Linked DNA regions of Mus musculus. The protein of the gene in region 2 interacts with the protein of the main gene of each other region in a biochemical or structural test. Links are inferred from orthologs where the notes say so. Each region holds a gene or a part of one and is shown on either strand. Other genes may lie near its edges.

Region 1 (4,599 bases), on a different chromosome or scaffold from region 2:
TTCTGTAACCCAAGCCAGTATGCCTTGATTCTTCAGCCTTTCTGTTTTCTATATATTTTCTTCTTTTTGAGATAGGGTCTTGCTATATAGCCCAGGCTGACCTTGAACCTGTGCCAACCCTTCCACTTCAGCCTCTGAATGCTGGGAGTATAAGGATGAGCCACTGCAGCTGGCTTCCTCACATGTTCTTGATTTATAATCATAGTGCTGTTTTGCCAGATATATTTTCAAAATAAAACACAAATTTATCTTTCTCTCTATCTCCACCGTCCAACCCTTTTTAGACAATACAGTCAACATCACTTGTCCATTGGAACTCAGATTGGCCTCTGTAACTTCACTTCAGTCCTGTCCCTGAGACCAATCATCAAGATAGTCATGAGGGATCTTTCGAAAGTACAAATCCAGTCATAGCAGTCATGCTACACTTTGCCATGCTTAAAAGACTTTAGGAATGTTTGATGGCTTTACTATGAGGCTCAGTCTCCTAGGAAACCAGGGAAAGCTCTCTATTATCTGACCTCATACTTCTGAGTTTCATCTCTAGCCCTTAACTTCCCGTTTCATGACCCCCAACACATGTGCATACCAACTTAGCTGTATCAGAGTAGGTGCAGTTTCCTTCATCTGCCTTGCCAGCCACCATTTTACCTGGAGACTTGTTGGTCATTCTTTAGTGTTATAATCATCTATTTTTGAGAACTGTTCTTGGACCCTGCTCCACACCTTGCCTGGGGTGAGTTAAATACACTCAGAAAAGTACTCCCTTGAAGAGCGCTCCCTTGAAGGTTTTGTTAGCAAAGAGCCCCTGGCTCGCAGAGAAGCAGCTCGGGCCTCTGCTTTCTTGGGATGGTAACAGACAGAAGCTTGAGCTGGGCATGCTGGCACACAAACCTGGAATCCCAGTACTCAGGAGGTAGACACAGAAGTGTGCTGAGTTAGACACCAGCTTGGGGCTACACTGCGAAGTTCCAGGGAGTATTGGATAGCAAAACTCTGTTTCAAAAAAAAAGCAAACAGAAACAAAACAGTAATCCTCAGTTTCCCCCAAGGGAATCAAAGGTTCTCCAGGAGGAAATCCTATGCAGAGAGGCAGGCCTTACTTGGTAGTCATGAGAGAAAAGTATCTGTAGTTGAGTGAAGAAACTACCCTTACTGAAGGCTGGAATCTTCAGAAAGTGGGTTGCCATAGCTCAGCAGGAGGAAGGGACACTATCCGGGTTTATTCAAATGGAAGAAGTGGCTCCCTGCCACTTAATTTTCCCTTAGGGTCAGGAAGATAAGGTTGACATGCTGGCCAGTGACTGGCTGGTGAGGTGAGCCAGCCAGGAGTGATTCATCTTTGGTGAGCAGTAGCAGACACTGAAGCTTAAGGGTCCTGGCGGGGCGTCAAACGCTCTAGTTTCTTGTCTCAGTTGTGCCTAGAACCTGGGGAAGAAATCCCCTCGGTCCCTCATCCCTGGCTTAGCTCATCGACAAGGTTCTCTCACCTGGAAGCAGGTAGTGGCAACAGGTGACCATTTTAACCAACACAAGACTATGGAGCTGCTATTTGAAGTAGAGAGGGCTTTAAAAGAAACCTTTCTTTCAGGGCTTCTCCTAAAAGCCACATGCAGAGACTTTGGGGGATACAGAGACTCTAGGCCTTGCTTGCTGAAATTTGTCTCCTGGGAGTGAAGCCATGGCTAAAAGCTGGCCAAGAAAGTTTCCCTCAGGACCCCTACCTAATCTTCCTTAGAGGCGGGATTGGAACTGCGGGAGAAGATTAAGAGGAAAGGCTGACAGCAGCTCCCTACTTAACTCCTTCTCACCAGGGAAGTTGGTCTGATAGTCTCCCCATCTATGTTGCCTGGTGTCATCTCTTACAATCATGGATGCCACCGGACCATTAAGAGTCTCCGGCTCAAGGAAGGACATGATATAGCTTTCTGTTATGAATGGAAGCCATTAAAGCCTGTTTGCTGGCGGCCATCCTCATTTCTCAGTCCCTTGCTTTTAGAGTCCTCCCCCCCCCCCCCACCACCACCGCAGAGGAATCCGAGATAGTGGCTCCCTATCCCGGTAAGCTACTCCCACAAGCCAGGGTCTCGAGTAGGTGGCAAAGCCATCTCTTTGCAATCTACCTTTCTGTACCAGTTGATTGAGGACAGCTAAGGGACTTGCACCTAGAGTGATAGATTTCATAATTGTCTTTAAAAGGAAGCTTATTTTTGTCATGGCCACCAAAGTAAAATCAAGCATTACTTTAAAGCACTGAAAAACACAGAAAGGAAAGGTTTGGGGGACGAGGAGGAAGAACGACTGTCTCCCTATCTCTAAGTGCCACGAATGTTTCGGTTCCGACTCAATATTTAAGAACGCTTGAAAAGAAGAGTGTCTAAGGCAGGACATTTACGGAGAGCGATTGAGGGGTTCAAAAGGAGAGTCACAGAGGAACCCACCTTCGACTGCCCCCTTAACTCTCATGCCCAGGAGAGTATGGGAGCTTCCTGACCTGCTTAGCCCCCTGTGGTCCAGCAAAAAGGGAAAAGCTCTAGCTCCTGGTTCCTTCGTTTCAGATCTTCTGGCCCGTAAGACTGCAAATCGTGTCACAACTTGAAGAAAACACGTAGCGCCATGTGCCCACTTCCAAAACCTTCCCTCAACGGTCCAAGGTAGCCCACCCTGACTCCATCATGGGCTCCAGAAACAGCAGCTAGGTTTAAAAACCACCCGCCTAAGTGAGCCTGAAGGGTAGCAACTGCATCAGGATACTCACGACCAGATACTCACGGAGCCGTCCTTTCGAAGAGCTCTGGAAGAGACGCTTCTGGGGACAAGGACTAGGTCCAGAGAAAGGCGAACGGGGTCCAAGGGGTCACAAGCTGTGGTGATAAGGGATTTCTAATTATTAGCCACAGCTTTGTAAACTCCACCTGTAACTCTGAGCCTTCTTACAGATGGGAATGAAACCCTTGGAGGCTGGAAAAGATTGCGGTACTCTTACAAAAAACGTTTGGTGGGTTTTATATTTTTCCCTGTCAAGAACTCCAGCTGGGCTTTTGTGTGGTGAACCTCTGTGAGTCCAGGAGAAACCTTGGTGGGGAGGGGGATTTGGGCCAAGGAGGAATTTAGAACATTCCTGCTTTGGGGGGAGGGGAGCGAAGGGTGTTCTGTTCTGCCCATTAGGTGTTCCTGGCGCGCAGCCCCAAGGCTCAGCAGGAAGGAAGCCTTCATAAACACAGCCTGGGTGAACCAGGGCCCAAGTAGCCTGGCACTGCCGTTGTTTGCTCCAGGAACTCTTTAACTCACTGTGGTTCTTTGGTCAAGACCCGAGCCCTATTCTACCTATAAGATCAACTTCCCAAGGGAAGACACGTGTACCTTAGGTTATCAGAAGTTTTAGAATGAAAACCTGGCCTCTGGCAGGCCCAACAAACTAGGCTTCACTATTGTCTCTGATACACAAATTAAAGCCACAAGTTATAGCAAAAAGCATCGGGAAAAAAAAAGTATTTATTCAATATGTCCACTTTAGGAAGAAGAAGAACTAAAGGGCTCAGGGTTCCCGCAAGTCTATCTTCAGGGTGTTGACATGAGGATTAGGCTTCTGCAGAAGGTATGCATGATTGAGCAAGCCTGGCCAAGGTGCAGTCCTGTCCATCCTGGGCTGTCTGTTGTTTCTAGCTCTCCCCTGTCCTGCTAGGTGGTCTGACAACTCACAGGAAATCTCTGCCTAAGAAGCACAGCCGCCCTTTGCCTGTCCAAGGCTTTAGCCCTCTTCTCTTACCAGGCTTCAGACTTTCCCTTCTCCCAGCATGGGACCCCTGGGGAAGTTTTAATTCTTTCTGGTTGATCATTTCAAAAGCTCAACTAAACGAGACCTGGCCTCAAAAATAAAACAAAACAAAACAAAATAAAATAAAAGTGGGATATGAGTGCAGCCTTCCTCTCTCTCACCTCTCCCTTTCTTCCTTGCTTCCTTCCCTCCTTCCTTCCACACTCCCTCTCTCCCTCCTACAAAAAGAATGTCTTTTCCCATACTAAGAGAGGGTACAGATCCAGGCTCTGTGGGTTCAAAGCAGGTCCTGCACAGTGAGACTGATGATGCTACTATACTAGTAGGCCTCTTCTCCCCACCACCAAACACAGAAGCACTATCTACTATGCCATTTAAGCCCCTTCGAAAGTTCTGTATAGTGTATTGATTAAGGCTCCTCACTAAGTAGCTCTCAAATGCACCCCAAGAACTTGAAGCAATCCTTTTGACTCTAAAGTGTGCACACAAACCACTTTGTCTGATTCTATTGATAAGAATTCAGAGAATAAAATATAAAAGAAGGAAATGGGGTCCCCCCCCCCATAATGCCACTGGCCAGCCGTCAACATTGCTAACATTGGGAAAGCATTAACGGAAATGTGGTTTATCAAACTGAAGCACACACTATTTACAATTCTGTAACCTCTCATTTCTAAAGAATGTATCGTGGATCTCTTCCCATGTCAATTGGAAACCAGAGCACCTATAGTACATTCCATCATGTAAAATGATTTCTTTAGCCACAACCAAACATTTTGTCATATTTCACTTTAGCTGCTGAAAAAAAAAAAACCAAAGCA
Region 2 (4,667 bases):
ATACACACCCACAAGAAATAACTCCAAGAGTCATCAGGATCTTATTGTTGTTTCATATGAAGCAGAAAAGAGAAACTTTTAAAACAGGATACCAGTCTTTGTAGTTCTATTTATGAAATAAGGGATTCTTTCCCGATGATCTATACTTAGTTTGACATATATTCAGTTTTCCCTTTTGCTTGTCTTAAATGTGCATATCACAAGCTTTCTGCTTCCACTTCATAGCATTACTGTGAGAATCAATTGAATTACCCCCACAGATTAATCTTAGCTCATATTTTTCATTTTATTTATTTACTTATTTTGGTGTTTTCGAGACAGGGTTTCTCTGTGTAGCCTTGGCTGTCCTGGAACTCACTCCGTAAACCAGGCTGGCCTTGAACTCAGAAATTCGCCTGCCTCTTGCCTCCCAAATGCTGGGATTAAAGGTGTACGCCACCACGCCCGCTATCTTAGCTCATATTTAATGTTGATCACAATCACTAACAGCCCATAAATATGTTATTTCTGACTATGTGACTCCATTCTCTATTTTAAAGTACTCTGAATTTATAATAAATTGGGTTTTCTGAAAGGACTTTCTCCTTGCATTCATCTACGTGGTAAGATAAACATCTTCAGCTAACATGCTTTCTATACCACCACAATGGAACTCTCCTTAGAAGTCGCTGCACTTAACCATCAATTCAGGGACCATGGGTAAATCTATTGACTCTCGTCAGCCACAGAGTTTTATGGCACTGACTTGGATTTATGTCCTTCATCAAGATTCAGGCCAACTCACCAATATTTGCTGTGTTTATTCTTAGGTAAAGACTTTGGAGTAAGAGTTTGTGTATATCAGAATTTGAAACGCACTCTTTGGCATAGCAGTTTCACTTTTAATAAGCTGACATAGAGTAGCAGGTGTACAATACAAAAATGTAAATACAATTATATAAATTATACTCATTGCAATAACAATATCCTGGAAACAAGCCCAACAGCTCCATCCAAAAGGCAGTGATGACTGGAGCGGCATGGTGAAAACTACTCGACCTTACAAAGCTGGAGAATGAAAAGTACTGACGCACTCAAGTTCTACAACTGCTGTGCCAAAAACACAAGAGCAGGCTGCAAAACGAGTGTCTGTATGTCTTCACAGGGGTAGGAGAAACAAAAGCACCCTATGTAAAACAACCATGGAGCTGGAGCTTAAGCATTTTGGGTTCCCTGAGAACAATAAATGTGACTTAGGGAAGGAGGCAACTGGTTAACACTGCATTCACTAGCTCATTGAGGGAGGGCCTGGCTTTATGTAAGACTGCATCCAAGAAAATAACCCTTCAGTTCCCAGCTAAGGACGCAAATATTTAACTACAGAGGTGCCCCTATGTGCCATAAGATCTCAATACCATAATTTATGTGTAAAAGCACACCTTCTAAATCACCTTGCCACAGCAAGCTATTGGAAACACTTCTCTTGGAATAACACTTTCCAAGTGTGTTGTCTTGACTAACAAGTACCAGAGCTCACACTCTGAAACAAACTGACATTCTGTGTAATATGGCAACAAAGCCTTTCATCCCAGGAAAGGAAGTCCCAGCAAATGCAAATATCATCACTTATATTTTAAAAGTAACAAATGTTGCACTGATTCTAGTTTTTGGACCCAGTCTTTCTTTTAGATCTCTTATCAATGTTTGCTCAAAAAAAAAGATACAAACTAAATTACTCCTACAGGAGCAATACTCTATTCCTTAAAACAATCTATACTAAACCTTGTATCTGCCAAAGAAACAAGGTCCTGTCAAGAATTCAGAAATTTCCATCTATTCTCAAAGGTTATGATTAAGTATTTCAAATAGAAAACTACATAAAATCACCACCTGTTTAAGCTGTTTGAATAACGGATTGATTTTTCTCACACTGTATGTCTGTCATTGAAAAAGCAAGCACTTTAGGATTTTTTTTTAATTAAAACGTACAAAAGAAGGATTCTACTTCATCTTTAAGAATTTTAGCCTAATGTAATAATAATATAACACACTGTCAAGAAGCACACTTCAAAGCACACAGGAAAATAGGCAAGTTGTTTTGTGCAGAATTCACCGGGCTCTTTTGGTTTGCACCCATCTTACTGTCCATGTGTAGGGACACTTTGTGCTACTTCTGAAAGTTGAAATTAAAGTGCTTAAAAACTTTCCTCCTTCTGTGGCCTCACATAAATAATAAACCTCAAAATAAACCATAGCTACTCTAGAGCTGAGTGTTTTGCTGTCTCCAAGCTTTATCGCTGCCATTGCGCATACCGCAGCGGGTGACATCAGATCGAAACTATAGGGTTTCGTCGGGTACCAACCACTCCTCCAGAGCCAGCCCCGCGGCTACCCACCCACCCTCCTGCTGCAGCTGACACCCCCGGGTCTCCGCAGACACGCTCCCGGGACCTGAGAATCCTCACCCGGGGCGACTTTCCAGGCGCGGGACCTGTTGCACGTCGCCTCCCAGCGCGAGCCGGAGCCAGGCACCGGCAGCCGTGCACCTGCCCGGGCGGCAGGCGCACCCCCAGCCCGCCCTCCCGCCTTCCCTCACCGCCCCGCCGCGGTCGCCCCCGGCTGCCGCCGCGGGGAGGGCGGGGCGAGGCTCCCCCGCCGCCCCCCGCCGCCCAGCCCGCCGCCCGGCTGGCCGAGAGGTTCTCACCTTAGCGGCCGCGGCCCTGGCGGACATCTTGTCTCTCTCCGCGCCGCGCGAAGCTCCTCGGACCCGAAACTCCGCGCCGCCGGCCCGCCCGCTCCTCACGCCACCGTCCGCATAAACATCTCCCGGGGACGAGCGGGGCAGGGGCGGGGGAGGCCGGAAAGGCCCGGCCCACGGGGAGGGGATTCAAGTGGGACAAAAGTCCGGGAAGCGTCCGCCCCGCCCGGGCTTCTCCGCGGGGCACACCCGGCCGCCTGCTCGGCCTCCGCCGCCCTCCGCCGGCTCGCCGCTCCGCAGTACCCGGGCCTCCGGCTGTCCCCTACACCCTCGGGCGTCTCCTCCAAAGCCTGCTCCCGCACGTAACTTCCCCGGAACGCGCGGCCGCCGAGAGACGTGCCGTCGGCGGGCAGAGCCGTCGCGGGCAACTCAGGCGGCCACGCAAAACCTGCCGGACCGGGCCACTGAGCATGCCCAGCCGGCGGGGGCGGGGCCTCCGCGAGGGGCGGGGCCAGGCCGGGTCCGACCCCCGCGCGGAAGGAAAAGCTCGGCTACCCAAGTTACTTGCTAGGCGGTTTCCGCTGCCGCGCGATCCATCCTGTTTGTTTTTATCACAGATCCGGCAGAATTCGATTCACCCCCACCCCCGAGAACCCCAAACTCCTGTGTACTAAAGCTTTTTGACTCCCTACACAGACTTGTCTACTTTCTCCTCAACCAGCAACCCCAGATGGGCCCCACGCAGGAGTGTGACAATTAAGGTCGGCCTGGCCAATACCCAACTGTGGTTTCTTTAGCCTCGCAAGTAACAATGGTCACAACTGTCACCATGTGTCTCGGCACTGTTACCCCATTGGAGATATGTTTTTGTTTAAAGCACAACAGAAGCGTTCTAGAAGGCTCAGGACAAACCGACTGCCTTAAATAAACCAGGTACAAATCTGGACACTGAGATAATCCCAGCCCCCTTCTCCCGCCTCGCTAGACAGGGATCTCAATAGAATATTTTAGGCTATCAAGATTGCTGAAATTCTTGGCCCCTGAAGAGACAGAGCAGGCTGCCTGCCTTTCTAAACCAGAAAAGGATGTAAGGACACGCGGAATTCAACAAGTTCAATAGGCCACTGTGCAAACTTAGGCCAACTGTCTTGCTGAACCAAAAAAAAAAAAAAAAAAAAATTAGGTAGAAAACTATTTCGAGCTTCATTAATTTACATTCTGTATACTGCAAAGCTCTTAAGGAATATTAGAAAAATTTAGTAACATTAGATAACATCCTAAAGTACCTAGCATAGTGCTACAGTAGCCATACAAGGAAGAGGGAGACAGAAGCATCGGCTTTTAGACTATTGTTGTCTTTTGAGAATTCAACTATATGACCAATTTAAACCTAATTCTAACTTGGAAATATCCATACATGAAATGTAAACATCAATTAAGGTTTCAAAGTCAAGTATTTTGTAACTCTAAGCCAGCTGAACCAGAAAAGAGCATCGTGCAAACCAAACCCTGTTTCTCGGCATGTAGGAAAACAGTTAAAGTCAGTTTTGTTTTTTGTTTTGTTTTGTTTTAGTTGTGGTGTGTGTAGTTATTTCACAGGCAAAGTGTCCTGTGTTCTCTCAAAGGGGGTGATTAAATTTATCCTATGAGAAAACAGCATTATAAAAGACTTGGGTGTGCTGTGGCTGAGAAAGCGGTTCCTGAAGGACTTTCATACCAGGGAGGGCATTACCATTTAATAAGAGATGCACTCTGCAAACCTGCCTAGCAGTTTGATGCGCCTACTCCTTCCCTTTTCTCTTTGGTCAATCAGTTTATCAAGTCTATTATGTAAGCTAAATATTAGATCACTACATCGTGTCTACATCTAATTTACCTGATTGGTCTTATCTTGCCATGGCTTTAAAAAAAAAATGAAATCAAGGAAAACCATTTCACTTTCAGAACACTTTGCTTTAAAAAGTGTGTCAATTAAAAATTTCCAAATAAT

Evidence for each region. The genes of interacting proteins can lie anywhere in the genome.
Region 1: the proteins of Tjp1 (region 2) and Cldn2 form a complex in vitro, tested with the Homo sapiens proteins (2 studies listed by BioGRID and IntAct, with this or other methods). The link is inferred for Mus musculus from reciprocal best matches to the Homo sapiens genes TJP1 and CLDN2.

Annotation. Positions count from the first base shown.
Region 1 is NC_000086.7:139,799,184-139,803,782, reverse strand, and holds the start of Cldn2 (claudin-2), read right to left. Parts: upstream 2,976-4,599; 5' UTR 2,773-2,975; exon of another isoform or gene 2,759-2,772; intron 1-2,758. UniProt on the Homo sapiens protein: Forms paracellular channels: polymerizes in tight junction strands with cation- and water-selective channels through the strands, conveying epithelial permeability in a process known as paracellular tight junction permeability.
Region 2 is NC_000073.6:65,368,127-65,372,793, forward strand, and holds the start of Tjp1 (tight junction protein ZO-1), read right to left. Parts: upstream 3,119-4,667; 5' UTR 2,711-3,118; coding exon 2,684-2,710; intron 1-2,683. UniProt on the Homo sapiens protein: TJP1, TJP2, and TJP3 are closely related scaffolding proteins that link tight junction (TJ) transmembrane proteins such as claudins, junctional adhesion molecules, and occludin to the actin cytoskeleton.